Linked DNA regions of Saccharomyces cerevisiae S288C. Changing the gene in region 3 together with the main gene of any one other region gives a genetic interaction. Each region holds a gene or a part of one and is shown on either strand. Other genes may lie near its edges.

Region 1 (7,257 bases), on a different chromosome or scaffold from region 3:
TGGAGGCATGTTATATTATGTTCTGAGACGTAAGAAAGGGTGAAAATTGATGTTAGTGTCAAAAATTATATTACAAAATACGCAGAGATATTCTAGTTCCTTTGATGAATGAATCTTTCAGAAAAAAAAGTCAAAGCAAAAGCAAAATGGCCTGCAGACTAAACTGTATGGTGGTCTTGGAATGATAAAGATCTGTTTAATAGATTTAGTAGATACAATAGCACATCTCATTACCCAGTTATGATTGACGTCATTCTGAGTTACAATGATCTTAGCGACCTGTGCTCATTATTTGCTCCACTAATTCTAATTTTCCTCGCCTTTCATATTTCGTATCTTTATTCTATATCCTAAAATTTTTTTGGCAAATCCCAGATTTGGCTTTGATTTTGGCATCGGTTCGGTTCTTTCAAATATCTTCTTCCCGTGAATCAACTGCACATACCTTAATAACTAGTTCAGTTTAGTGCTCTGTCTGAGTGACTGTAATAATAAATTTTACAAGCCACTTCTCATGACATATATTGGTAAGTAACTTCATCAATACTAATTAGTCTTTGCCGGTTACCCATCTGGCCCCTGACTTGCGATGCTTAGGAAGTTCCATACTCGCGGCTCTTCCCAACAGTAGCACATCCGTGAAACTTCTGGCGCTATTCATTATGCAGTACCAGGACAAGAAGTTAAAAAAAAAGCTCTGTTACAAGTTCAATGGTGGTGCAAGGATTGAAGTTATTATCCAGGAGGCACGGATGCAAAAGATAGAAGACAAATTAATTTCCTTAAAATTCAAAATGCTCATTATTGTCACGCTGTATGAGCATTTGGTGAAGATTTCACTGGGAAATGTTGCAATAATTTGATAATCGTTCGTATTGGATGAAACTGTAACATCATCTGTTTATTAAGTATCCGTGTTATTAGTATATCATCACATACGGTGTAAGAAGATAACATAAAGATTGAGAAACAGTCATCAAATATAATGGAAGCTGAAATGCGAGGATTGATGATGTAATAGGACAATAAAAAATATAAGACGGAAGAAGAAATAATCGTAATAGCATTATGTAAAAATAGGGATTTGAGGATTCCTATATCCTCGAGGAGAACTTCTAGTATATTAACTATACAGAATATCATAGCCTTGATCAACAATAAAATCCCAGCAATTATCAAATTATCCATCCATTTCTCAGTGACATTCTCACTAGATGAGCGTTTTTGAGAATAATGCTAACATTTGGTAAGGTATGAAATAAAATGCGATATCCTCCGTAGTTGTCGTCCGATATAGTGTAACGGCTATCACATCACGCTTTCACCGTGGAGACCGGGGTTCGACTCCCCGTATCGGAGATATATTTAATATTTTTTTTGATTTGACTTCAAATGAGAACTATTTTTTTAAAGCATCGTGTGGTAAACAAGCTTCCACCGAATGAGCTTAAGAAAGCGCAAACAATTTTCAACCTGACAAAGCATACATCATTTTTCATACAAGTCCTTGTTAAGTAACTCAAAAAAATCATTAACGAGATGGCCAAAAGAGTTGCCGATGCGCAAATACAGAGAGAAACGTACGATTCTAACGAGTCTGACGATGACGTGACTCCCTCCACTAAGGTTGCGTCATCTGCTGTGATGAATAGAAGAAAAATTGCCATGCCAAAGCGCAGGATGGCGTTCAAACCTTTTGGTTCTGCAAAATCGGATGAAACCAAGCAGGCTAGTTCCTTTAGCTTCCTGAACCGGGCGGACGGCACTGGAGAAGCTCAGGTTGATAATAGCCCTACCACAGAAAGCAATTCCAGACTAAAAGCATTGAACCTCCAGTTCAAGGCTAAGGTTGATGACTTAGTTCTAGGCAAGCCGTTAGCGGACTTGAGGCCCCTTTTCACCAGGTACGAATTATACATAAAGAATATCTTAGAAGCTCCCGTGAAATCTATCGAGAATCCAACGCAGACAAAGGGAAATGATGCTAAACCTGCCAAAGTAGAAGATGTCCAAAAAAGTTCCGATTCTTCATCTGAAGATGAGGTTAAGGTGGAGGGACCCAAGTTCACAATAGATGCTAAACCGCCTATTTCAGATTCCGTTTTCTCATTTGGCCCAAAAAAAGAAAATCGCAAGAAAGATGAAAGTGATAGCGAAAACGATATAGAAATCAAGGGCCCTGAATTTAAATTTTCTGGAACTGTATCAAGTGATGTATTTAAGCTGAATCCAAGCACCGATAAAAATGAAAAGAAAACCGAGACTAATGCTAAACCATTTTCATTTTCTTCGGCCACTTCAACTACTGAACAAACGAAGAGTAAAAATCCCCTTTCATTGACAGAAGCTACCAAGACCAATGTGGACAACAACAGTAAAGCCGAGGCTTCCTTCACTTTTGGAACAAAACATGCTGCGGATTCTCAAAATAATAAACCATCTTTTGTATTTGGTCAAGCAGCTGCAAAACCATCGCTAGAAAAGAGCTCATTCACGTTTGGTTCAACAACAATTGAAAAAAAAAATGACGAAAACTCAACCTCTAACTCAAAACCTGAAAAGTCTAGTGATAGCAATGATTCAAACCCATCTTTTTCCTTTTCCATACCCAGTAAGAATACACCTGATGCATCTAAGCCATCTTTTAGTTTTGGGGTCCCAAACTCTTCCAAAAACGAAACTTCAAAACCGGTATTTTCGTTTGGTGCAGCAACACCATCGGCCAAAGAAGCTAGTCAGGAAGATGACAACAACAACGTTGAAAAACCTTCCTCTAAGCCTGCCTTCAATTTAATATCTAACGCTGGTACCGAGAAAGAGAAGGAAAGTAAAAAGGACTCAAAGCCAGCTTTTTCATTTGGCATATCAAACGGAAGTGAAAGCAAAGACTCTGACAAACCCTCTTTACCCTCTGCGGTTGATGGTGAAAATGACAAGAAAGAAGCAACAAAACCTGCTTTTTCGTTTGGAATAAATACAAATACTACTAAAACCGCGGATACTAAAGCTCCAACTTTTACATTTGGCTCCTCTGCACTCGCTGACAATAAAGAGGATGTTAAGAAACCTTTTTCATTCGGTACCTCCCAGCCTAATAATACTCCATCCTTCTCATTCGGAAAAACAACAGCAAACTTGCCTGCTAATTCTTCAACATCTCCTGCTCCCTCTATACCATCGACGGGGTTCAAATTTTCTTTGCCATTTGAACAAAAAGGTAGTCAAACAACTACAAATGATAGCAAGGAAGAATCAACAACAGAAGCAACTGGAAATGAGTCGCAAGATGCAACCAAAGTAGATGCTACCCCAGAAGAATCAAAGCCAATAAACTTGCAAAACGGTGAGGAAGACGAAGTGGCTTTATTTTCGCAAAAAGCAAAATTAATGACATTCAATGCTGAAACCAAATCGTACGATTCAAGAGGCGTAGGCGAAATGAAGCTTTTGAAGAAAAAGGACGATCCTTCTAAAGTGCGCCTACTTTGTAGGTCTGACGGTATGGGTAATGTATTACTAAATGCAACTGTTGTAGACTCCTTCAAATATGAGCCTTTAGCTCCCGGAAATGATAATCTCATTAAAGCTCCTACTGTTGCGGCTGATGGGAAACTTGTAACTTATATCGTCAAGTTTAAGCAGAAGGAAGAAGGCCGCTCATTTACGAAAGCTATTGAAGATGCTAAAAAAGAAATGAAATAAGAGTAAATACAGTTAACAATTTTAAATAGAATAGAACCCTCATATTTTGTAGCTCAAGGTTATAGTTGAGCAAATAAAGAATACAAAATTTATTCCAAAAAACACTACGAATCTATATTTTCCAGTTCTTTGTCTATAATAGATTTGGCAGCTTTTGAAGCCCAAGCCAATCTTCTTTCATCCCTATCAAAAGCTTTATCTCCTTTCTTTCCTGCAAGGAAATTATGGTATCTAAATTTCTTGTTAATAAACCACTTCAAACCTTTGAGAATGAATAGCATATTTTCCGATTTAACGTTCTTCGTTAAAACATCGCGCAAATAATCATCGGAGTAGATTATACGCTTATTTCCACTTTCATCCATCTTGAGTTTCTTCTCACTTTTTTTAGCTACAGTTAAAAATAACTGAAATAGCAATATCTCCATAAATAACATCCCTTCTGTGTTTAATCCACCCATAAATGGAACATGCTTGAAAACATCTAATTTCAAAATGTCATTAGCAAGCAACGATCCAAAAAATCTCCCCTGATTTGAGATGCGAAGCAGTTTTTCTTTATCATCTAAATCATCTTCTTCGTCAGTATCGCTTTCAGAATCGAATTCTTTGTCTTCAAATTTTTTTATCACATCCCAGAATAGGAATTGAAACGACTTCGATAAATGGCTATACCTTTCACATATTTTGTTCGCGACCAATGCGTAGTAATGATTATAACCATTGGATCCACTATCAGCCAAAAGACAATGTAAAACAATTCTTGGAATTTCAAGAACTTGCTTATTTTTCAAGCTTAACTTTTCAAGTTTACTAAATGCATCCAGGTAATCTTGTGCAGACATAATACTTATAAATATAGCCCTTCGAATGTCAGTATTCATACGCTGTTGTCTGGCGATAATATTCCAATCTGGAATATCATCAAGAAGATCATCCTCGATTGAAATTTTAGATTTCTTGGACTTGCTGGCATCATTTTCATTATTGATCGAAACTTCAAAAGCATTTTCCATGTTTCCTCGCCAAGAAGCACCAACCAGCCACCATTTCCCCTTGGAATCAATGTTTTTAATGTCTTCCAGAGAAACCTGTAAAGGCTCCCAAGAAGAAGAAGAATTCAAAATGCTTTGCAAGTTTTTCTTTAATGGATGATGATCAGTCGCCAAAATAGAAGGCTTTAACCTGTTGTTTTTCAAGTCAGACATGGTATCCATTAAAAATCTCAATCTTGGGCTCTGCTCTTTTAAATTCTTGGCGTTCTTCAACAGTTCTGATCGTATATCTCTCAGGGCGGATGGATCATCACCCCGGATCAGTTGTCCTGAAATCGATATAATTCGTAAAAGTAACTCAGTAGTGAATTCATTAGGATCTGCTACAAATATTCGAATAATGTCATAGATTAAGCGACACGAAACAAATCCAAAATTATAACAATACGATAGTAAGGTTGCAATATTGATGCATATTTTAGAGGAAATTTTGCTCTGCTGATCCTTTAATATATTTTCCATTTCCTCTTCGTAATGATGCAGAAATGCCTCTACCGTTTTTTGAATGAAAAAAGCACCCACCTCAATACCTCTTAGTTTTGATAATGTATACGCAAGAGCAGCATAATTCATTATAAATCCGTCCAACAACTTCTGATTTTGGCTTATAATATTCAATATCCCTTTCGTTAACGATTCTGTAACGTACTGCCTAGGCAGGGAATCATACAATCTGTTTAAATCAGTGATAATAATAGTAATATTGGAGTCTGAAAGCTTATTCAAAGAGGAGTTGACCTTCTTGCTAATTTCAGACAAAGTACTATTGTTTTCACTATCATCCAATTTCTTTCTCAGTGATGGGGGAACATAGCTCTCTACAGATTGTGTGGGAGCTACATAGGGATTTTCCTTTTCTCTTCTATAATTATCATCCGAGTCCGCAACGCTGTCGTTATCAGATTCACTAAGCCCATCTGAGTCTTCAAAATCAGAAGCTGAAAGATCATCATCCGAGGAAAATGCTTTCTCGCTTGCTTCATCATCTTTTCTCATAGAATTAGTTTCTGTGGCAAAATCTCCATACTCTTCGTCACTTTTGCCATAATTTTCAAAGTATTCCAAACCTTCAAGAAGTCCACCAATAGCATCAAATTCATCTTTTGCATGTATAGCCTTCCTTTCTCCTTTCAAGCCCAACTTTTTTGCGTAATATTGCATGTCCATCTCGTCCCTTTCAAACGCTGATCTGTCTGAAGGGGCCAGCGGATAACTCACAAAATTCTCATTTGTATCTCTGTTACGAATATGTTTCTTTTCATATGAGTTACCTTTTATTTCTCCCGAGTTTTCAGCTCCTTGTATACCCTTTGCTTTCCGTTTCAATGATTCTAGTTTTTTCATTGTTTCTTCCGCAGACATTGCCTGCTCACCGCTTTCTTCTGCTACTTCATCAGTAAGCACTTCGTCACTATCCCAGTTTTCATTACTTTCTGATTCATCTGAAGAAATCGGATTTTTACCGTTAGCCTGCTTGCCTACGTTTTTCACACCTGCATTAGCACTCCTCTTTTCGGACGTTGGTGCTGATTTTAGCCGGCTGGAATTGATTTCTCTAGTTGATATAATTTTACGTTTCTTGTCGGCCCGTTCCATCTTTCTCTTTTCTTTACGGCTTAAATGTTTGCCATTTCCTCGTCTTCTCTTTTTTCCTTCTGAAATAGAAAACCTTTCATCTTGACTGTAGTCAAGAGTCTTCAACTCGTCCAAAATAACGCCTGGAATTCTAATACCATCTGTTTTTTGCATTGCCTCAATATTCTGCAGCTGTGGACTGGCTATCTTTAGTTAAGATGAGGCTTCGTAAGTAAGTTCAGTAGTCTTGTAAGCTCATCGCATTTTTTTTTTTTTGCTGGATTTTATATTTTTCACAGCGAAAAGGACGGGAAGCTAAAAGATTAAAAAATAAATATTGCAGATACCATATGTAATTTAGTAAAATATTTTTATAAAATATTATTATTTTCTTGTTCTTCAGTGATTTATTGTAACCATGGAGAAATGCTCACGTAAATAATGTTAAGTCCAATGGCACACTACTACCCTTTCCACTTGGATACAGTTTTGTTTTATTTTGAAAGGGACGTGGCTTAGGCATTTGTGACACATTAGTCCATTTAAATCTTGAATCATCTATAACAATTCTTTCATTTCCAGATTTGGCCCCAACGATAGAATTCGATCCCCCTATCGTATACCTACCTACATCAACATCTGGTTGATTTGTATGCGTATTATGCTTGTGTTGCAGCGTCGATCCACCTGTAGAAAATAACCGTTGTTTAAGGTTTTTACTGGGGCTATTAGAGGTACCGGTATCCATCGTAGATGGACTTGGTGGTGGGGGTGGCGACTTAGTGGGGTTCTTCGAAATTGATTCAGTTTCGGTACGAACGGAAAGTGTAGGCGCAACAGGAGGAGGTGATGGTATTGATGTAGACACGGATTGCTGAGGCAGACTTGGTGCACTAAATGTTGGCAATGGCGGAGCAGCTGCAAC
Region 2 (9,563 bases), on a different chromosome or scaffold from region 3:
TGATGAAGAGGATGATGAAGATGATGTGGATCCAGTCATTGAGAATGAAAATATACCATTGAGAGATACAACCAATAGATTAAAGGTTTCTCCTTTTGCCATTTCTAATCAAGAGGTGTTAACCGCTACAATGAGCGAAAATGGTGATGTTTATATATACAATCTAGCTCCACAAAGCAAAGCTTTTTCCACACCAGGTTATCAGATTCCGAAGTCTGCTAAGCGTCCTATTCACACTGTAAAAAATCATGGGAATGTTGAAGGCTACGGGTTGGATTGGTCACCATTGATCAAGACTGGTGCGTTACTATCAGGTGATTGCTCAGGACAAATATATTTTACCCAAAGGCACACATCGAGATGGGTGACTGATAAACAACCATTTACTGTTTCAAACAATAAATCCATAGAAGATATCCAGTGGTCTCGCACTGAATCCACCGTTTTTGCAACCGCAGGATGTGATGGATATATAAGGATTTGGGACACAAGATCAAAAAAACATAAACCTGCTATCTCTGTTAAAGCTTCTAATACTGACGTAAATGTCATAAGTTGGAGTGATAAAATTGGTTACTTGCTAGCAAGCGGTGACGATAACGGTACATGGGGAGTATGGGATTTAAGACAGTTTACGCCAAGTAATGCTGACGCCGTCCAACCGGTTGCTCAATATGACTTCCATAAGGGAGCCATTACTTCCATTGCATTCAACCCATTAGATGAGTCTATCGTTGCGGTAGGCTCAGAAGATAATACTGTGACTTTGTGGGATTTGTCTGTAGAAGCTGACGATGAGGAAATTAAACAACAGGCCGCCGAAACAAAAGAGCTACAAGAAATTCCACCACAATTATTGTTTGTTCACTGGCAAAAGGAAGTTAAAGATGTCAAATGGCATAAGCAAATCCCAGGTTGTTTAGTAAGTACCGGTACTGACGGTTTGAACGTCTGGAAAACAATCAGTGTCTAAACTGTATAATACTTGGATCATATATTTACACATAGTAGATTATTAATAAACAAACCCATTCAAAGATATAGTAAATATTACTGGCGGATATGAATAATATCTATCATACATATTTGTTACTGTAACGTTAGGCGCTCAGGGAAAGAGTTCCTCTAAAACCTCAAGATTCGAAACAACGTACTTTCTTTCACTCAACTGTAACGTGTCAGTTTGCTTAGTATTGGCTTCCCAAGTGTTTATTGAATTATTATCTATTTTATCAATTGACAGCTTGTATTCGTCCCGCATTGGTTTACTAATCGAGTTTGAAAGAAACCCGTATTTATCATTTCTATCTAACAGTATACCAGTCCAACCGGCAGCTTCTGCCCCTTCGAGATCGTTCTTTAATTCATCTCCGATGTGAAAGCAATGCTGTAGAATTTCCTCCCTGGTGTACTTTTCGAGTAAATGAGGTTGTTTAGATATAATATCGTCAAGCGCATATTGAAATATTGCTCTATCAGGTTTGGCGAGATTAAGCTCATATGATAAATAAATGTGACCGGAAAATGTCTCAAATAATCCGATATTCTTTAATAATTTGTAAAAAATTGGATCAGTATTGCTTACTATTCCTAAGATAACATCAGGATGTCTTGACTTCAAATCCTTTAAAAATTTGATCAAATCTGGATAAACAAAATACGAATCGAAGCCCTCAAACCGCATTAATATTTCATTTATCATCTCATCGGGAATTTCGTTTGGTGCGAAGACGTTCCTAATCAAGATGGACCACCATTGTTCGGGCTTGATACCAGAATATTTTCCGTATTGGGGATAGTCTTCCTTCAGTTTTTTAAAAACGTGTGGAAAATTGTTTGTTAAAGTCGAAGGATTCGCCTTGATACCATATTTACGCCCAACAATGCAGTATTGTTCCATGACGGGAAGTTTTGTGGCGTATAGTGTATTATATGCGTCGAAAGTAATAATTAGTGGCCTTGCCACCCTATGAACTTCAGACCACGCATTTATAGGTATTCTTTTCGGATAGGTCATTGAGCCAATTTCTGTGGATGTTCAAAAGTCTGCTTTTAACACACCTCTATAGACCGTAAAGGACAAAGGTCTCAGCGCTCTCTTTTTCTATTCATTCACCTACACTCTTTCGAGTTACTATGAGCGAAGATAATTGAATCGAGCGTCTTGATAATTTTGAAGAAAAAGAACAACAAACAATACAGGCGTCTTTTTCGCTTTCTTAAGTATTTTAATACTGATGTACAGAGATATATTATACATTACAATTGTACAAAAATATTGCGGGAAAGAAAAATTTCATCAGACTTTCTTGTAATATTTAGTTATTGAAAAAAAGATCATTTTTGGCAAAACAATAAGCATCTGTAATTTCAATCGCCTCGTAGGTACCTTGCAAGCTTGTAATTACCTTGTATTCATGAGAATATATATCAGTGACTTTATGCGTCTCAACAACCTGCGACCTCCTTTTGCCGTGTTTTCCATCAGTCTCTTCTGTCCTTACATAAGTTAGTGAGAATGGTGGGGTACCTTCAAACGAAAAGATTACTTCAGCCTGGTCACCTTCGCGGATATCCTCAGTAACGTAATTTCCTTGAGAAACAGTTACGGAAGGAATAGGATGTATGTTTAAAGATAAGTCATCAAATTCACTCTTTAATTTAGGGTTCGTAAAGTCGACAATGCATTGTGATGATGAATCCTGTAAAGAAGTGATAGATATAATGCCCGGTTCAGATGCTAATCTAACAAATTGGGAGCTGCGTTCCTTAGATTTTAGTGGAATACCGTTGAATTCATACTTAATCATGAAAGGTGCCACACCGTTTAATTGATATGCAACATAGTCCCCAACACAATACTCGGTAGAAGGATCTAATATATGTATCTTTGGTGCATCAGTAATTGACACAAGAATTTGATTACGCGGTCCAGATATGAGGCTGTTAACACAACCATTTGCGTCAACAACAGAATCAATAGTAATGGCATGGTTACCTAACTTCATCCCTTCATATAACTTTTCAAATGAAAAGTTCTCTGAGTCAATGTTGTCAATGGTATACTGATCTGTCCTACTGGTACTCTCGTGATAAACGCTAAAGGTGATTGAAAATGGGCTTTCGCCTTGTAAAAATTTCAAATTTATTGGTTCCAAAAATGAGATTTGATCTACATTAGCAGCACATGCACGCAAGGTTTTACCACCATCAGCAAAGGCGACGTCTGGAATGGGGTGCACTGTCTGTTTGATTATGAGCTCCGACTGATGTTCTCTAAAATGTATGTCGCTTTCACCATAATTGCCATCGAAGATGGCCTTAATAGTAGTTATGTACTCTCCAGGAATTTGATTAGGCAGTTTCAGTGAAGCGTATTTGGTTGCCACCTGAATTTTTTTTGTAGAAATATGACCGTTGGGTGCCATCAAATCATATTCTAATATGAATGGTGGAGAACCAAATAGAGCCAAATCAACCGTACCTTCCATCCCTTGACAGACTTCTTCTTTAGAGAATAAATTTTCCGTTACTTTTGTAATGTGATGATTGTCTTGAATTGCAAATTTTGGCTTCTCCAAGAAAGATACCTTATACAGACTGTTCCGGTAAATCACATTACCTTGGCAACTTGAGTCACGAATATCGACCAATTGGTAAAGCCCTTCTTTACTTACTTTCAAAGCGGGCTTATAACTATTCTGAAATTTGTTTTCAAATTCTTTCACAATGTTTCCATCGTAATCCATGTGTTTAAACTTAACGGTGAATGGCCCCTCTCCACTTAATTTGAGCGGAATTTCAGTGACAGAACCGTGCTTAATTTTAGCTTCTTTGATAGGTTCAAAAAAATTGAATGCAGCAGATGGAATATCTCTCCTCACCTGTATTTTAGCATCTGGTTGGCTGAGTCCAACTACACAGCCGGTAGAATCCTTGATAGAAACCAAAGATAGAATATAATCACCACCAGTAGTAAAGACTGGTGTTTTAATGACATATTCGTTGGTTTTTATTTCTTTAATTTCAAAAGTTTTCCTCTTGCTAGAAAAAGTTTCAATGATATCATATGTTAACGTAAAAGGGCCTTGGCCTTTTAGTGCTACTGGGACACTGCTGTGGTCACCCAAACAGAGTTTCAAATCATGGTGTAATTTTAGTGATGCGCTTGGTTTCACCCTCATTGATGTCTTGAAAGTATATTCTTTTACAGGTTCCAATTTGATTGGTTCAGTGAATAATTTATTAGAAACAGTATCAAACACGATTTCATAGTTACCTTCTTTAGGTGGACTATAGCTGAAGCGATTTCTCGTACCTTCAGAGGTGTATCTCTTTGCATCATATAACTTTCTTTCACCGTTTTCAAGCTTATAGATTTTAGTGTTATAATAGTATGGTGGAGCCCCAGTAAAAGATAGTTCAAAGTTTAGACCAACCTGTCCCACACACTGGTCCAATATTGGAAATGATTTAACTTCCATAGTAGGTGCAACTGGCATAGTTACAAGAACGTTTGATTTACCCACAATTTCACCTGGACAAAACTTAGATTCAATATATTCTAAGTTATATGACCCCGGAAGATCCGCTTGCAACACTTTGGTCAAAGAATCTGTAGTAACATTCATTATCTTTTTCGACTTGTCTTGTGCATCAGTATAGGATAGGCTAATAACATATGGAATGTCTGAAATCCAGTTTTTGATTTCTTCAAACACGATGGCAATAGACCTTTTTGTGGGTGACTTTGGATCAAATCTTTCTTCTAGCGCTGCACGTGGAACCTCATGAACATTGAAATTATAAGATAGATCATAGCGCTTTTTTAATTCTTCAGGGAGAGATGTAAAATCCACGACATTTCCCAGACCATCAGTTATTTTATCAATTTTATATGCAAATTTGCCGTCCTGGGTAATGGAAGAGTCTAAATTAATATTAACAGGTTGGTTTCTTCCCCATTTCAAATCGTTTAGTTCTCCTTGAGTAAAACTTTGTTTGGATTTGCTTGACTGCAAAGGAGACTCAAAATATTCTGGTTGCAAGCTGGAGTCTACATATGAAAAAGTTTGACCATTAACGATCTTAGAGTATGCTAATTTCATTGGGGGCACACCTTGAATTTCAAAAGAAACATTATCTGAATCGCCAATACATCTATCATTGCTTCCAGTTCCAGTAATAGATGCAATTGGACAGTAGGGTACAACCAAGTGTGACTGATGGATCTTTAAATTCAGTTTTTTTGAATCAACAATTTTTTTGATTTGATAAAAGCCAATATCTTGAAGAGTTACAGCCAAATAACGAATTGTACTGCCTTCTTCAAAATCGTTTGAATGTGACTTTAGAACTGACTGATCTTTTTTTAAAAAGGATTTGGGGTTATCGATGATTTTGAAGTCTTTCTTACTCAAAGACCGTAACTCTACCGAATTTGTGTAAAGATCTCTATATTCCAACTCGATATATTCAATCTCTTCAGTTGAGTTTATTCTGATGGGTACGTCAATTGAGTTAATTTTAAAAAGATTGGTATCCATGGGCAAACAATATGATTCATGAAGAGGATTAAACATAGCTGTGTTTTCAGGTAGGATCTTGATTGTTAGAGCACCCTTAAAATGAGCGGAAGAATCAAAAATACGATGATGGTTAATGGCTGAACCTGTTACACTTAATTCTTTCGTATAAAGTTTTCTCCATGTGGTCATAATTAATGAAATCAAAACGAACTCGTGATCGCTTGATATGAAAATGTTCAATAGTAGCATAGCTAAAATCTGGAGATAAACAACCCATGGCTTAAAAGTCAACCTAGGAATGTTAAAGGATGGTAAAACATACAGGAAGAAGGAATCTATAATGAAATACTTGGATATGAAATTAAATCGATAGTTCTTAAACAGTAAACCCGAAAGCGGTAACCCCGATTTAAGTATTACCAGGTCATATATTTTATAACATTGAATTATTAAAAACAATATCACCGCAAATGTCCTTTGTTTGGAAATTTCTAAAACATCGGTTGATATTAGAGGCAGTGAATAAATGTCTACCTTTTTATCACCATTAATGTAGCGGTCTTTGCTGTCACGTTCAGATATCCTTGATTTTTCATCGCTTATGTTACTTTCAGTACTTTTAAAGCTCCTCGAGCGTAAAGGTCGGATTTTCTCAGCGGGCTCATCGTCACTATATTGGAAGCGTCGTGTTGTGTTTACATTAGGACGACTGCTATAAGATGGACGTGGTGATCCTGACACAGAACTGCCCATCCAATGGTTCCCTCGTGGAGTATCATTAAACACGTTATATCTGTGCTCCATTATACAAGCCTCCTGATAAACGTATCTGGTATGATAAATCTATAATCCGTTTTGAATTGGTTCGATGAGTTTCCTCTTATTATGTCTTAAGCAATTCTTACTTTTGTTCAATAAAAAAAACGTATAAAGTTATTGACTACGTATATAATGACATAAAATACATAGTGCTATAGAACATAATGTTTTGAATTATGAAGGAAGTTAACATTAAGTGGTTGCAATTATTTGATGCCCTAGATAGGAATAATGTATTCTTCCTATATGTTCTTATATAATGAAACTCTATTTCTATAATACCAGCGCATTATTTTTTTTCTTTCTCTTCACCTGTGATGGTCTGGAAGCCCTTTCTGGTGATAAACTTAATGACTGTCCACTGGCCTTTTTGCTTCTTCTGATGCACTGCTATAGGATTTAAATCCCAACCAATCTTGAGATCGTTGTCAACTGTGGATCCAAATCTAGGAACCACATAACAATACCGTTCCGTAGGTGATAAATTAACGGTCTTCAAGCCTTGACCAGTCAGAGGTTTACTGTATGTCAAAAGAAGTCCCTTTCTTGCTATGTTCGCTAAGGGGGTGCTTGCGATGTCACATAAAGTATTCATCCTTGTTTTATTATTTCCACCAAGGTGCAAGGAATAATAGAGCATGTATTTGGGTGGCATTTCCCCCAAATTATTTAAAATTGAAGTCGGATGGATATAGACAAAGCAGTCCTCGATATTTGGTGTTCTCGTGGCCAAAACAGGAATATAAGGAATGTTGATTATGGAAGTTCTGTTGGTTATCTTAGCATCATCTGGAAATAAAACATCTGCTCTTACGGCAACATGGTCGACAAAACCAGCGCAAATCATTTGTTTTAAAAGTTTTATTTGTATGACGCTTGGAATATCACTTTTCAAGTCTTCATTCCTAATTACTACGGCAATATTTTCTTTTGAAGTGTTGGACTTGATGATATACATTAACTGCTTCCTCAATTTTACTATTTCTTCCATTAGTTTGCCTCTTAAAAAATTTTTCTTCATGAATATTTCTTTTTGTTCCTTTGGAACGTAGTCCATTGCACTTACAACACTTAATAAACGGAATACGTCACTAAATTTGTCTAATTTACTAAACTGACTCCTGCTTTTATAGAATTTACTGCGCAATTCCTTTTTCAGTTCAGGATCCATACCTGGTGTTGATTCATCGTGCTCTCTAATCTTATCATCTAGATTTTCATCTGGATTTGGTTTTCTAGAAATTTCGTTTATTCCCAACTCAAATTCATTGATAAAAGGATCTCCCACCGAAAGGGCACTAACAATTGCTACAATATAAGGAAGGCAGGCTTTTTCGTCAGAAACAAGTAACATTTTGGAAAATCTGGGTGAAAGTGGGAACAGGCTCATTTTTTTACCATCTTCAGTAATCATCTCCTTATTATCAAGAGCACCTAAATATTGCAGTAATTGTATTGCCTTGGAAAGGGCAACTCTATCTGGAGGAGTTGGAAATGGAAAATTAATGATATTATGAATGGCCATGCTCTTCATTTGTAACACGATGCTCTCCACTGGCATTCTTAAGATTTCAGGTTTAGAGAACTGTTCGAAATCATGTTCAAAAACAGCAGACGAATATAAACGGTAACAATGGCCTGGTCCAGTACGACCTGCTCTACCGCTTCTTTGATTGGCACTAGCTTTACTTACCCAGCCCACTTCAAAACTCTGTACGCCATTTGATTCATTATATTTACGCTCTTTAGACCTCCCGGAATCAACAACATATCTAACTCCAGGTATAGTTAACGATGTTTCTGCAACATTTGTTGCAACAATACAAAGCCTAGAACCTTGAGGAGGTTTTTGAAAGACTCTCATTTGTTCCTTGGTTGGTAATAGAGAATACAGTGGAAGGACATATAAAGGATCGTTAGCTGTTTGCCCTTCAGTTAGGACTTCTTCAAACCCTTCTTCCTCTTCGTCTTCCTCATCTTCACCGTTTCCACTGTTACCTTCATCTTCTTCGTATCTTATCGCGCTCTTGAACTTATCTTGATCGATAACTTGTACACTGAAGTCTATATCCTCAGCCTCCAAATCTGTTGTTTTTGAATTGATACCCATTTTAGAAACGGGTGTTTCTAAATCTTTGTTGTACTTGGAGTTTTTCTTAAAAGGAAATTCCTTTCTTAGCCTTTTTACCATGTGTGTAATTTCCTGCTGACCGGTTAAAAACACCAATATAGCGCCAGGAGGAAGTTTCTGGTGAATTTTGCAAGTCTTTCTGAAAGCCTCGTCTGTATAGTTGAATGCAGTTCTACGATTAAAGTGAATAGAGACTGGAAACTGCCTTGCATCAACCTGTAAGACAGGGGGCGCTATGGGGAACAATGTTTTGTTTTCGCTGAAATCTGATACCCTTAATGTAGCTGACATGATGATGAGTTTTAGCTTCTTGTGCTCGATCGGGTTCTCCTTATGTAGTTTAGCTCTTAACCGAACACAACGGCTAAGCATACCGATCAAAATATCAGTGTTAATGTTTCTTTCATGTGCTTCATCTATGATAATGGAGGAATATTTAGTCAACTTGAAATCGTGCATCATTTCTCGTAGCAAGACACCATCTGTCATAAACTTGACCTTTGTGTCCTCCTTTGCGGTAGAGTCAAACCTAATTTGGTATCCTACTTTATGACCATGGTCCCCCAATTCATTAGCTACACGTTCAGCCATGGACACAGCGGCCACTCTTCTTGGTTGAGTGATACCCACCATTCCTGGGTAATCTGGAGAATCTTCGGCACCAAACCCAGCCTCATATAAAAATTGTGGGACTTGTGTAGTCTTACCTGACCCCGTTTCACCACAAATAATCACTACATCATTATGGTGAATAGCCTCCATAATTTTGTGTTCTTCACCAAATACTGGTAGTTGAATTCTTGCTTTCTGAATTTCATCTGATCTGCTAACTTCAACATAGAAGGCTTTACGGGTGGAATTCTCGTTTATTGGAACATAAGCTTCTTGGAGACCATCATCTAAATCTTCCTTTCTAATTATCGGTTTATAATCGATGTTCAAAGTGGGAGTAACTAGCTCTTGATCTCTACCTTCCAATTTTTTTATTTCTTGATTGGCCCAATCCTTGAATTCGTTAGCAACATCATTTTGGTCAAATTTTTCTGAGCCAGTTTCACTATCTGCGCTTTCAACTTCTTCGAGTG
Region 3 (10,063 bases):
CATCCTTCACAGTGATGAATCATACTTGAAGGATGTAGAAGCCTTGAAAAACTACATTATCGAGGAATTAAATGTTCGTGATGTTGTTATCACCTCCGATGAGGCAAAATATGGTGTTGAGTATAAAGCAGTTGCTGATTGGCCTGTATTGGGTAAGAAGTTGAAAAAAGACGCAAAGAAGGTTAAAGATGCCCTACCATCAGTCACTTCTGAGCAAGTACGGGAATATTTGGAAAGCGGAAAGTTGGAGGTTGCCGGTATTGAACTGGTTAAAGGAGATTTGAATGCTATTAGAGGCTTGCCAGAATCTGCTGTCCAAGCTGGACAAGAAACCAGAACCGACCAAGACGTGTTAATCATCATGGATACAAATATTTACTCTGAACTAAAGAGTGAAGGTCTCGCAAGAGAGCTGGTCAACAGAATCCAAAAATTGAGAAAGAAGTGTGGTTTGGAAGCCACCGACGATGTTTTAGTGGAGTACGAATTAGTTAAAGATACTATCGACTTTGAAGCCATTGTCAAAGAACATTTTGATATGTTAAGCAAGACCTGTAGATCCGACATTGCCAAATATGACGGCTCAAAGACAGACCCAATTGGTGATGAAGAACAATCTATTAATGACACCATTTTCAAATTAAAAGTGTTCAAATTATGAAAACAACTCATATAAATACGTACAAATTTTTCTCTACTCGAAGTGATATAGATGTATATGTGTAAGTTTACGTTTAAGTTAGAGTCATGTAATGCTAACTGTCTCCACCGATAATGTTGTATAATACCCGTGAAATCATAGCACATGATATATCATCACCCGGAGGCCGGTTATTTTCGGCGGCGGCAAAAATATTTGGTATAATTATGGAAATACAAAAAGGGGAACCATTAAAGGTTGAGGAGGGGATTGATAAGAGAATCTAATAATTGTAAAGTTGAGAAAATCATAATAAAATAATTACTAGAGACATGAAGTCTACATTTAAGTCTGAATATCCATTTGAAAAAAGGAAGGCGGAGTCGGAGAGGATTGCTGACAGGTTCAAGAATAGGATACCTGTGATTTGCGAAAAAGCTGAAAAGTCAGATATTCCAGAGATTGATAAGCGTAAATATCTAGTTCCTGCTGACCTTACCGTAGGGCAATTTGTTTATGTTATAAGAAAGAGAATTATGCTACCCCCTGAGAAGGCCATCTTCATTTTTGTCAATGATACTTTGCCACCTACTGCGGCGTTGATGTCTGCCATATATCAAGAACACAAGGATAAGGACGGGTTTTTGTATGTCACTTACTCAGGAGAAAATACATTTGGCAGGTAGTCTTTTATATGAAAAGAAATGAAGCGTTAACATCTAAAATCGAAATTATAGGGACTCATTAGCCATCTATTGTTCCAGTATAAGAATGTTTACATAAAAAATTCGAAAAAAAAAGATAAAATAAGGGAAAAATATATATATATTCATTAAGAAGTTTTGTACACAACGGAGCCAAGATTTCACCAGTATTTGGAGACAAATGTGAGCACGTTATGGTATTTACTTACAGATTACGATCTGTTCAATGCATCAGAAATAGGAAGAAATTCAAAATAAAATAAAAAAAATATTAGGAAGGAGTGAAAAAGCAAATAAGATGATACAGTAAGGTGGAGTTAATGTCTTTCTTCTCCAAAATGTATTCTTGCTAACCAAAAATCTGATTCTCTCTGACCTGTTCGTTTGTCTTATGTATGTAGAATCAATTTCTTACAGAATTTTAAATACTGTATAGTGGAAAAGAATAATAAATAAATACTCGACTATATTTACCTTTATCTTAAGGAAAAGTTCACTCGATATTCTTAACTTTACCGTCTAGTAAGGCCTCTTTATTACATTAAAATATACACGTACATTACCCTGCTATCTATATGTCGAACATGAATTTTTATTCTTTGTAGAAACAAATCCCCAAATTATTGCCGCTGTTCTTAACGTACTTTTCAATTGGATCATTATCAATTTTGTATTCCTTCAAGTGAATGATATCGTTGTAGGAAATAATGTCCCTAAATTTCCTGTCCGATTTGTACCATTCGTGAATTAACCAGGTCATTTCTTTATTAAATACGGAATTATCGGAATCTGATGTCTCGATTAGTTCTTTTAAAATATAGTACATTTTGTTGAAAGAAACACCCGCTGTTATGAATATAGAAACTATCGACCCTGATACAATATGTTCCTTAGGTAGTGTTTCGTAGAAAAAATTACAGACAATGGGAAAGAGTTCGAAAATGGGGAAAATGAATTCAGAATCCTGAACATTTTTACCAATTTTAATCAGTACATTAGACAGTAAGTTGATGAAGTTCATTGAATCTTCTTTCTTTCCGGTATTATTAAATTCCATCCTCAAAGATTGGAATAGCTCATCCCACTTGGCCATAATTACTTCATGGTCCCTAAAATCTGCTATCTTGAAAATGAATAGGGCAATTTCATGGTAACTTAAGGGTACAGCAAAATCATTAAACAGCTCACTTGTGCTCAATATTTTACCATCTAGAGTTTTGATCAGCTCATCTTTAATGGCTGAATCTATTCTTGCGTCTGTATACACGAGCGACAATATATCACCTTGAATACCAGCAACTTCACATGCATCTTGGATCCTACTAGCTAATTGTACAATTCTTTGTTTCTGGCTTAATGGTGACACACTGTTGCAAAAACCATTGGCGCGTGAAAGAAACTCAATTCTTTCAAACAATGTGATGTCAAAATTCGATGTAGCTAAACGGTAAAGAATTTCAGCAGATTCGAAAAATTTAGATCTTCTTGAATAATAGACCCAGAGTATATTAGATATCTTCAATGAACTACCTGCCTTTTCCATTAAATAAGGGAGTATGAATGGAGTTTCAATATCTAATAGTTTTTCCTCTCTGTTCTGAGACACAAGCCAATCATACATATGATAGTGGAATAATCTATCGTTATATTTTAGGGCGGCTTCATAACTTTTTTGTCTCAGTTTCACTTCATCGTCATTCGATATCGAAATTTGGTTTTGAGTTTTTGATGACTGTTTTTTTTCGGCAAGTTCGTCTACTTTTATTAAAGTATCAAAAACTAGGTCATAAACTAAGATACGTTTGTCGTAATATTGTTTCCTATCATCATTTTCTAAAAATCCATTTGCCACATATTGACAAGCTAGTTTGCCTTTGTCCATAGAGTTGGCAATATTCAATAAGAATTCAATAGATTTTGGGTAATAATTTACACTCAGCATCATTGATACAGCTTCTTTCAATTTCTCGATAGAAAGATCATCCACAATTTGTTCAAGTAAAGCAGTAGCATTTTTCAGGTGATAGTTTAGAGAATCATAGTTACGCAAGCCAATTTCTTTAGCCCTTCTAAGATGTTCAATGGCTCTAAATCCTAATATATCACTTGCAGAGCAGAATGATCCACAGCGTTCTTGTAAAGCTGTTGCGGTATACTCTATCGACGCACCTTTGGTGATATTCCTATTGATGATGGATAATAAAATTTCTCTAATTAATGATTTTGTTTTGTCATTTGGAGCAAATAAATCTTTAAAATCTAGTTTGACTAAATCTTTTTGGACGTCCAAGCTTACAAAACTGATTATATCCTTGAAACCAAGGTATTGGTTGTCGAATCCTTCGACTTCGCTTTCCTCGTATAAAACGTTCAAGAATGATAGACCTTCCTTTATGGACTGTACCATTTTGATCATCGCATTAATCGCTATACTTTCCGCTTGGTTTGCAACTTCTTCTGTTTTATCAATAACCCTGCCGTTAGAATTGTTCGCTAATACGTAGGGAGCTGATATTTGGGAAATTGAATCACCATAAGTGATGAAAAATTCATTTAAAATGTTAATTGAAGATAGATAGTACTCGATACAATCCTTGGAAATAGAAACCTTTGATATTATGTTCCTATTTTGTGAAATTTCATCACTTTTTAGGTTATTAATAGATGGAGTGATTGGATCAGAAGAAGAAATGAAAGCATGGGATGTCACCCTATTATCTGTAAAAGTCATGAAGACATGTCTCCCCCAAATATCTCGAAGTAGTCTGGTAATCAATAATGCAATACCGTAAAATCTGGGGGATAATATTACGTCATCTAAGTCAAAATCTTCCTTGTTTGCAGGGGAGGGTTTACTAAAGCCAGTTATTGATTGTTGGAGATTAGTTGTTGCGGTTGATAAAGTGGGCTTTGACAATAAAGAGGATACTGTAGATACAGAATAACGGTTGTAGACAGGTTTGATGTCAACAACGCCAGGAATACCCATAGTTAAAAAAGTCAGGGCATTAGATCTTAATTTTTCAGATTTATTTGATTTGCAAGTAACAAACAATGCAGTGGAACAAGCTTCCGCGGCACCATAATTTAAGACGAATGGCAGCGGATTATCGATTAGATCCTCAAAAATTTCATCAGGAGTACGATATTTATAAATTTCGATAGAAGTGCTCGTCAAAACTGCTACCCTTAAAGTTTCTGATGTGTACTGTGTCGCAAATTCGTTAGCAAATCCTTGTGGCTTTGTCGTTGCATTAAACAACCCCGATAAGGGAATAATTTGTTGAACTGGGCCCGCAGTTTCCAAAAACGTGGCATTTTCAACGTACTTACCGTGTGTTTTCAAGATACCATAATCTGGAACACTAACGAAAAGCTTATGTTGTAAAGTAACTGGCTGTTGTTTGACAGTTTTAGACCCTGCGGTAGCGGTCGTTCCAGTAACAGATGAGTTCTCTTTTTTTTCTTGTTGATGAGTTTGCTGAGATGACTTGATCACAGCGGAAAAAAATATGCCTGGGGAAATAATTGTACTTGCTTTTGTAGTCTCTAGTAATACAGATGATTTCTTTTGGAATTTTAAGAGGACTGGTTCGGAAGACATTAGATTTGAAAAGAAAGGAAAGCTTCTCTTCGCCTGTTCCTGTTGTTGATGTAGTAATTCTTGTTGGATGACTTCAGGAGTTACAGAACTAGGGGGGAACTTGATCGATTCTAACCTCAAAGCTTCGATGTTAAATCTGCCCATGGAACCATTAAAGTACAAACGCACACCACCTACTGTTAAAGCAACTAAAAACAAATTGTTGTTTTCTTCTGGTGCAACAGAGCTTATCTTGACAATTTTTAGGTATTTGGGGCCCAAAATCGGTGCTGCCCTTGCCGTCGTGGTACCTATGATCCTACTGATGTAGGCAGGCTCAATTGACATGGGTCCTTCCAGTGATTTTTCTGTTATTACGTATGCTCTAATGGTGGATTTGGAGGATAATGAATAGATGATTCCTCTTTGTTGGTCAATAGTTAGTTGCGTGATGGTCTCTTGAGAAAATCCGCCATTACCGTTAGAATTATCTTCGAACAAAGCCTGAATAAAATCAACACCTGGAATCTGCGATAACATGTTAGTAGGTAGAAGACTTAATAGGGCAGACTTTGTCAGACAGACCTTACTACATTTACTATTGAACCAGTCATCGGAACCTGAGTAGTGCAACTCCCAGATATTCAGGCCACTGGCTTGGCCTGCGAAGAAAATTCTACCCGATCTTTCATGAGACACAATGTCTATTACATCAATGCCTTGTACAGGGACTGATAGATGTGTATTGAATACACTGAGTTCGTTGGTGGCTTTGTCTAAGGAAATAGCAAACATGAAAAGCTCCATTGTCGTGCTTATCAAAAGTAGATGCTTCACGGCAGGCACAAAGGTGTTTGGCTTAGGTCTTACCAAGGCGACTTTTTGAATGGTATGCTTCATATCATCTACCACCTGATACTCATTGTCATTGTTAATATTCCAGAGTATCAGTTTATTATCAATAGTTATCCAACATCGATTTAACTCCGGGAAAATACCCATATCAGTTTTTGTCTGTGAAGTGGAAAATTCATGCAAAATCTCGTCCGGAATGTTGAACACATCTTGCTTTTCAAATGGAGTAAACGCTCCTAAGCCGTTTTTTTCTCTGCTGAAGTTATAATCTACCCCGCTGTTATAATAAGATCGTTCGTCGAGTACGGGAGTGTTACTATCTTTATGTTGTAGATGGTCAATGTACTTTCCCGCTAAGTCCAGGGGCTTAGAAGTCCCCATCCCGGAAACACGAATGTGCTCATTCATGTTGGACATATTAGGATTGATGCTGCCAGAGGTCGCCCCCATTGCGCTTGCCCTCATGAGTGGGTTGGACCCGGTAATTGGATATGAGTTTAATATGTGTGTAGGTTGTTGTTGCGCCTTGGTTGCAGATGAGGCCAACTCATTCAGTCCATTCCTGGGTACTTCTTGATGATTCGTTAAAGGGTACGATCTGCTATCTGAAAACGTTTCACCGGCAGCAGCGGGCCCATTGTTGTGGAAAAAACTTTGAAACATGAACAACCGCTAGAAAGAGAAGTAATAAACGCACTCTGCTTTTTTGTCCGCTTGTCAGATCCTAGGTTCCAGTAATTCTCCGAAAGAACTGTTCACTAATATGTTCAGAATTCTACAATATTAATGTCCCATCTCGAAAAATTGTTTTTTTTTTTACAAATAAAGTAACAATCCTTCGTGCAACACGATATAGAGTACATTGAAAGCGTGTCACAAAGAACACATCCATAATCATGGTCCATTGCAAACATTTCAAAGTAAAGAAGAGGATATTTGGGTCTTAGAATCTCATTGGAAACAATCCTCGTTTACTAGAGACGTTAATTCCACTTTCAAAAGCCCTGAAAGATTAACTTTCTGATTTTAGGTTTATTATTTTTTTGTTGTATGCCCTTGTTAAAAATTTAAATAACCCTTGTTTAGATAGGGTTTAGTTTTCCCTTTTGTTATGATAATAGTAGTTATAGTAGTAATAAGCTTGACGTGATGTACTTAGTCGTACCACCTAGTAATAGTGTTATTGTTAGCATTCCTGTCCAAAAAGACCAGAGTAGGAACTAGATATGTTGCGGCTTGCACGTTTTTATTCTTTGGCCAGAACCAAAGCCATACATAGTCACGGTGCACCCTTCAGGCCGGAATATGCATTGAAGTGTGGATTGGAGATTCATACGCAATTGAACACCAAAAACAAGCTTTTTTCACAATCAACGAATAGCGCCACATCTCTAGTGGATGCACCAAACCATCATACTAGTTATTATGACATAGCTCTACCGGGAACGCAGCCGGTTTTGAATCTGGAAGCAATCTTGTTTGCCATGAAACTATCCTTGGCACTGGGTTCTCAAGTGAATAGCATATCTCAGTTTGATAGGAAGCATTATTTTTATGGAGATCAACCTCAAGGCTATCAACTGACGCAGCACTACAGGCCGTTTGCTCGGGGTGGGAAGATCAATCTGTCGAAGGAATTGGATGATATCGATGAATCAGCCAAGGAAATCGGTATCTTACAGTTGCAGATAGAGCAGGACACGGGGAAGTCACACTATACAGAGACAGATAAAGACGTTATTACTTTGGTTGATTTAAATAGGTCGAACGTCCCGCTTATCGAATTGGTAACTAAACCAGATTTCAGTGATATTAAACAGGTTAGAGCGTTTATTAAAAAATATCAGAATTTGGTACGTCATTTGCACATTTCCTCTGGGGACCTGGAAACGGGCGCCATGCGAGTGGACGTTAACCTCTCAATTAATGAATATGCACGCGTTGAGTTGAAGAATTTACCCAATACTAGTTCCATCATCAATGCAATCAAGTACGAATATCAGCGGCAAGTTGAGTTGATTTCTGTGGGTGACACTAGCTCACTGATGGAGCCAGAAACAAGGGGCTGGACAGGCTCATCAACGGTGAAGTTGAGAAGCAAAGAAACCACGATCGATTACAGGTACATGCCTGATCCAGAATTGCCGTATATCAACCTCGCACCAGACGTTATCAGTGGTGTGAGAGGGTTGATGCCCCAATTACCGGACGATATAATGAGAATTCTTATGAAGAAACCCTATCAATTATCATTGAAGGACGCCAAGATTCTGACTTATAATAGTAACCAAAACGATATGTACAATCATGAGGCGTTGAGATCGTACTACTTAGACACCTTCCGTGAATTTTCCAAGCTTGCTGGTGAACGTAGTAACGCGAAATTACCTACGAATTGGATAATCCATGAATTCTTGGGAGATTTGAACAAGCTACAAATTCCATTGGCCAAAGCAAAAGAAATTTTGCCTCCTCCGGTTTTCGCCCAGTTTTTGAAGTTATTGCATGAAGAGGTTATATCCGCAACTAGTGGTAAAATGTTACTGTTTCACATATTGGAAAATTTCGAGCAGAGTAACTGCCAAGATTTGTCTATTCCAGATTTTTCAAAACTAATCGAGAAATTTGAATTGCATGCGATTAATCAGGTCGACCCTCAAGAATTGATGGATCTCTGTAATGATGTCATTGCACAGCACACAGATGACACTTTTATACGGAACCTGGTTACTGGTAAAAAGAAGTCCTCTTTAAAATTCCTAATTGGACAAGGAATGAGACGAAGCCAGGGACGTATAAAGGCAAACGAATTCGAGAAAAAATTCAAAGAGATCTTAAATATTCAATGGTAAAATATAAACGCCGCGTGTAAATAGGAACCGTGCATAAATAATAACAATAATAGTAATACTAATGATAATAATATACATAAAAATATACGTAAACATCTCAACTCCAAACGCTCATGTCAGTATTCCAAATGCCAAAGGGTCTTGATGATGCTGGTTGAGAGGATGAAGATACGTTCATGTGGTTAGACCCCCATCCTAAAGAAGAATCATTCATCAAGAGTGATGCGGACGAAGACATGTTCACTGGTGCCGTCGAAAAATCCTCCCTTTGCGATGGGGATGGTGAATGTTGCGGTGGGTTTATGTTGGTGCCAATAGAGCTAGATGTGGTGGAGGACATGAGCAGGGTTTGGCTTGCTGGTAGGAAAGATACAGTTGGTGGAGAATGTAGATCCGAGATAAGCGAACTGGACGTGGGGCCCACGGGTAAATCATTGATTAAATCGGCGGATGTCGATGTTGCAGTGGTTGGGTTGGTGTGCATAGAGTTGTTTGATGATGACGACGATAAATTTGTGGAAGCTGCCGAAGTTGACGGCAAAATGTATTCGAAGGTGCTTTGGTTGTATGGAGAGGATGAGTTAGAAGTGGAAGAAGTCAACGAGGGAGAGGAGTTCGAGTTGAAGTACCTCGTGGAGAACTGCGTCTGGTTGTAAAGATTGTTGTTGTTGTTGCTGTTGTTGTTGTTGTTGTTGTTGTTGTTGCTGTTGTTGTTGTTGTTGTGAGCATTGACGTTGCTATTGTAGTACAGTTGAGGGTACGTTTGCTTCAGATGTGCAGTAACCATTGGATTGGACGTATACTGGGGATATTGCTTGTATTTTTGCTGGTTCAAATTATTGTTAGCGCTAAATCTGTGGTGTTTCTTTTGGGTATTCATATATGGTACGTCATTAGCTCTGTTCTGGTTGTAAGCCCCGTACGGGGCCGATGGAATAGATCTGTTAATGGATTGTAGACCAGCTTGGTTATGTGGGTTTACACTGCTGTTATTGTTGTTGTTGTAATAGTAATAGCTACCAGTGTTGTTGTATTTCATGTGATTGTAATGGGGGTGGTAGTTCGACTGGTGGGAGGGCGCATTGTGAGACTGGAAGGAATTACTGGACTGATGAAGGAGCTTCAAACTGCGGTACTCCAACAAGTATTTATCCATGTCCTCGTTCTGCGACAAAAACGGAATGCTGATTATCTGGCCTGGCATATATACGATGTCTTAGTGAAATAGAGCCAAAAAAAAAAAAGAAAATTATTACAAAAAACCGAAACCCAAATGATAAATAATAATAGTAACAAATAATAATAATGGAAATCAAAAAAGTCGTATCAAATATTAAGCGAAGGATGGAAGGTACCTCTTGTTCTAGGTGCCACGATGCAGAAAAAAAGATCAGGAAAAACGAATGGGAAAAAGAGAAAAAGCTGGAAA
Region 4 (4,143 bases), on a different chromosome or scaffold from region 3:
AGTTCTGTGAACTTGGCCTGTATCTTGGGAGGATTGTGCAACTCGTACGGGTATGCGATTGATAGCAACGTTTGCAAGCTTTTCAAATACAAAGAGTTGGTTCTCTCAATATGAGGGTTGATTACCGCATTATACGGTAGCCTCTGAATGGCATTAAGCCGTTTACACGTCAATGAAAGCAACAGGTTGATTGTCTTGATCGTCAGCATGTACTCCTCCTTCTTGGTCAGCGGCGGCCTGTATTGCAGGAAATACTCGTAGTTTAGGGGCGCAATTGGTTTACTAGCGTAGTCCTGTATCAGCAGCTCAATGTTCGACCTAATCTTGTAATGCTGGTCGAACGACAGTTGCGACAGCAGCTCGTGTGAGGGTCGCTGGCGATGTGCCCAGCGCATTCCCCCACATTTCCATGAACGCATAATCTTCCACATACTACCGTGAAGGCGTCTTGATACCACGTCTTCCAGTTATGGTCTTGACTCACCAATGTTCTCAGTTTAATGTTGTTTGCTTCATACTGGCAGACATTTTCCCTTATTACCGTGAGAAGCGAGCGGTGGATTAATCGGGATGTCAAAAACAAGAAAATTGCAACCTTCTTCACCTATAACCTATATGATTTGTAGGCAGAGGAGTGGAATAAGCAACAAATCATAGTCATCAATGTCGTTTAATGCCTTCGCCAGCTCTTTGAGCAAGAAATTACAGGAAATATCCACAAGTGTTTCCGAAAAAACCCAGGAATTGCCCAGTTTGGCGCAATCCACCCAAAGAATGGTCCAGGAACGTTTGGGCCAGGTGACGGACATCTCCCAATTGCCAAGAGAGTACACAGAGCTGGAAGATAAGGTTGACACCATCAAACTGATTTACAACCACTTCTTGGGTGTAACTGCTATCTACGAAAACGGATCGTACGATTACCCTAAATACATCAACGAATCCGTCAACGAGTTTTCAAGAAGCGTGGCTTCCAAGTTGACAGAGTTGACTCATGCTACATCTGCGTCTGAGGCACAAAACATCTTAGTTGCTCCAGGCCCCATCAAAGAACCCAAGACGTTGAACTACGCCCTCAGTAAAGTGGCTTTGAACTCCAGTGAATGTTTGAACAAGATGTTCCCCACCGAGGAACAACCCTTGGCTTCGGCACTCTTGCAATTCAGTGATGTGCAGGCTAAGATTGCTCAAGCTAGAATTCAACAAGATACCTTGATTCAAACCAAATTCAATAAAAATTTGAGGGAAAGGCTCTCTTTTGAGATCGGTAAGGCCGATAAGTGCCGCAAGGATGTCCATTCCATGAGATTAAGATATGACGTGGCAAGAACTAACTTGGCAAACAACAAGAAGCCAGAAAAGGAAGCTTCCTTGAGAGTCCAAATGGAGACTTTGGAAGACCAGTTTGCTCAAGTCACTGAAGACGCTACTGTGTGCTTGCAGGAGGTTATTTCTCACGCTAACTTCAGTGAAGATTTGAAGGAATTGGCCAAGGCTCAAGCTGAGTATTTTGAAACCTCGGCTGGCCTAATGAAAGAGTTCCTATCCAACTCATTTGCGGAAGAGCCGGAAGCAAAGCCTGAGGTTGCAGAAGAAGAAAAGCCACAGACAGCTATCTCTATGAATGACGAAGACGACGCTTAATAGCCGCCCTGTTCTTGTCTTTCTCTCTCCTTCTCTATATATATATATTTACTTAATACAATATCATATTCTCTAGTGTCGTACGAATATTATCATTTATTTGCTGGCTTTTGTAGTGAGTATATTTTTTGTAGAGAAAATATAATTACTGGAAGAGAAAAAGCTACTGAAAAAAATTTCGTAACAGTCACCAAAGGGCAAAGTGAGCAACCCAAAAATGGACGCTACTCAACCGCAATACGAACTATCCGTAGTAACACAATGCCTAAAGTCTGCCATTGACGTCATCCAATGGTTGATTCCTACTATTACTAAGTTCAGCCAATCACACCCGTTAGTTTTCCAACTATTGTTTATTTTCTTCACATTTTATGTCTTTTACAAGTTGTTGATGAACTTCATTACTCTGGTCAAAAGATTCCTGTATTTGACGTTGGTAGTAACATGTATCGGTATTTATATGCGTGGTTCGCAGCAGTTTTTGACTGTGGACCTGTTGAATTTCTACAATTTCGTCATGTCAAATAGATACTACGCATTTAAAATTTATACTCTGTTTATTAATGCCCTGGAAAGAGAAATCAACACTGTTTATCATTTGGCGCAGATGAAAATGGAACAGTTGCTTAAATAGAGCGAAACGCCTCTGCTTACTCGGAACATCTTAAAGTAATTACATATCTTAATTTCTAAATATTCATATAGATAAAGAACGTTTTTTTTGCTAGATTCCTCCCCTAGTCACTATCAAATATTGAGCTATTTTTGGTGACTTGTGTTTTCCAAATTATTCATTACAATTGTGACTTGATTTCTGAAGTTTTAAGAAAAATTGCAAACTAAGTTATTACAAGCGATTTATCCGGTCGCGATTGAAGAACTGAAAACAACAGCAGCAGCATTGTACCAAGAATCCCAAGATGCTCAGGTGTGCGGTCAAGAAGTTTGCATATTTTGCCACCTTCCTCACTATCGTCGCTAATATTTACATCTATACTTATCCATCTTTCCATCCAGAACAGTGTTCATGGAACTGCTCTAACAAGAACGCACCACTACAGAAAGATTTGACTTTTGTGGACAAAGTGAAGAATTACTTCAGTGATGTTCGAGAGCAATGGCATGGTAGCCATGCCTCTGCAGGTAACGATGAGGATATTCATATTTTGGCCTTCGGTGATCCTCAGATTAAAGGCATCTGGCCAAAGACGCCATATGTGTCCCGATTAGATACATACGGTAATGACTACTATCTTGGTCACATCTATGATATGATGCAGCAGAGACTGAAGCCTCAGGTGGTGACTGTTATGGGTGATCTTTTCTCCAGTCAATGGATCGGTGATTCCGAATTCCATAATAGAACGAAAAGGTATATTAGCAGAATTTTCAAAAGAGACCCAACTTCTATTGAAAATATCAAACAACAGAACCTCGATGAGAAAGGTCAATATAAGGCGAATTGGCCTGAATGGGGAGACCGTTTTAATGAGATTTTAGACAATGTCAAGGAAAACGAGGCTGATAATCAAGAACTTTCTTTTGGGTTTGGTTATGAAAATATCCACTCATGGAATCCAGACTTGGAAGACTTTTTAATCATCAACATCACAGGTAATCATGATGTAGGTTACTCAGGCGACGCGACTTATCAACATATGACAAGGTTCCACGACCTTTTCGGTAAGGACAACTATTGGATTGAATACGAAACCAACACTACCCATCCTTGGAGAATTGTAGTGTTGAATGATCTTTTACTAGAAGGTCCCGCTTTACAACCAGAATTTGTTGAAGCTACTTGGATCTTTTTAAACCAACTAAATGAACGTAAATTCAATGGTAGTACTGTTTTGTTGACGCATGTTCCATTTTACAAGCGTGAAGGGTTATGCGTTGATGGCCCAGACACTAGGTATTATCCAGATGCCCATGCCCCAGAATCATATAAATCTGGGCTTTTGAGATCCCAAAATCATTTGAGTGAATCCGTTTCAAATCAAGTTTTGAATATGATATTTGAAAATGGGAAGCCAGGTATCATATTAACTGGTCATGACCATGAGGGCTGTGAAACAGTTTATAATAAAAAATCTACATCTACTTGGGAAGCGACTAAAAATATCGAAAGTGACGTTTTCGTTAAAGAAATCACAGTTAAGTCTATGATGGGTGAATTTAATGGGAATACTGGTTTGGTTACAGGACACTTCAACACAGATTCAATGACTTGGGAGTGGACTTTCAGTTTATGCCCATTCGCTATTCAACATGTTTGGTGGTTCGCTAAAGTGTCCCTGCTCGTCACCATATTCACTTGGTCCTCGCTACTATTTGTCTAAACAAAAAAGAGTAAAGAAGATAAAACTCCTGTATAGAGATTTATATTAAATGTATGTATATATATGCATATACTGCTCTTCAAATTGCTTATGTTTTATAAACATTGACATCGGGGTTCCACACATCAAGATAATCATTATAATACCTTAGATTGTA

Evidence for each region.
Region 1: mutations in NUP170 (region 3) and NUP2 together harm fitness more than expected from each alone (negative genetic interaction), as found in Saccharomyces cerevisiae (5 studies listed by BioGRID, with this or other methods).
Region 2: mutations in NUP170 (region 3) and POM152 are lethal when combined (synthetic lethality), as found in Saccharomyces cerevisiae (5 studies listed by BioGRID, with this or other methods).
Region 4: mutations in NUP170 (region 3) and APQ12 together harm fitness more than expected from each alone (negative genetic interaction), as found in Saccharomyces cerevisiae (4 studies listed by BioGRID, with this or other methods).

Annotation. Positions count from the first base shown.
Region 1 is NC_001144.5:795,891-803,147, forward strand, and holds NUP2 (nucleoporin NUP2), read left to right. Parts: upstream 1-1,539; coding exon 1,540-3,702; downstream 3,703-7,257. Other genes in the region: 40S ribosomal protein eS25 RPS25B, read right to left, coding at 1-9; SGD1 (Sgd1p), read right to left, coding at 3,807-6,506; VRP1 (Vrp1p), read right to left, coding at 6,763-7,257. UniProt on the Saccharomyces cerevisiae protein: Functions as a component of the nuclear pore complex (NPC).
Region 2 is NC_001145.3:524,573-534,135, reverse strand, and holds POM152 (Pom152p), read right to left. Parts: upstream 6,333-9,563; coding exon 2,319-6,332; downstream 1-2,318. Other genes in the region: ribosome biosynthesis protein RRB1, read left to right, coding at 1-973; DPI35 (Dpi35p), read right to left, coding at 1,109-2,017; ATP-dependent RNA helicase ECM16, read right to left, coding at 6,637-9,563. UniProt on the Saccharomyces cerevisiae protein: Functions as a component of the nuclear pore complex (NPC).
Region 3 is NC_001134.8:71,641-81,703, reverse strand, and holds NUP170 (Nup170p), read right to left. Parts: upstream 6,446-10,063; coding exon 1,937-6,445; downstream 1-1,936. Other genes in the region: isoleucine--tRNA ligase ILS1, read left to right, coding at 1-661; ubiquitin-like protein ATG8, read left to right, coding at 973-1,326; glutamyl-tRNA(Gln) amidotransferase subunit PET112, read left to right, coding at 7,009-8,634; YBL081W (uncharacterized protein), read right to left, coding at 8,732-9,838. UniProt on the Saccharomyces cerevisiae protein: Functions as a component of the nuclear pore complex (NPC).
Region 4 is NC_001141.2:275,862-280,004, forward strand, and holds APQ12 (Apq12p), read left to right. Parts: upstream 1-1,861; coding exon 1,862-2,278; downstream 2,279-4,143. Other genes in the region: protein kinase PKP1, read right to left, coding at 1-431; GVP36 (Gvp36p), read left to right, coding at 664-1,644; TED1 (Ted1p), read left to right, coding at 2,565-3,986. UniProt on the Saccharomyces cerevisiae protein: Involved in the regulation of lipid homeostasis in the endoplasmic reticulum, thereby impacting nuclear pore complex biogenesis and localization, and nucleocytoplasmic mRNA transport.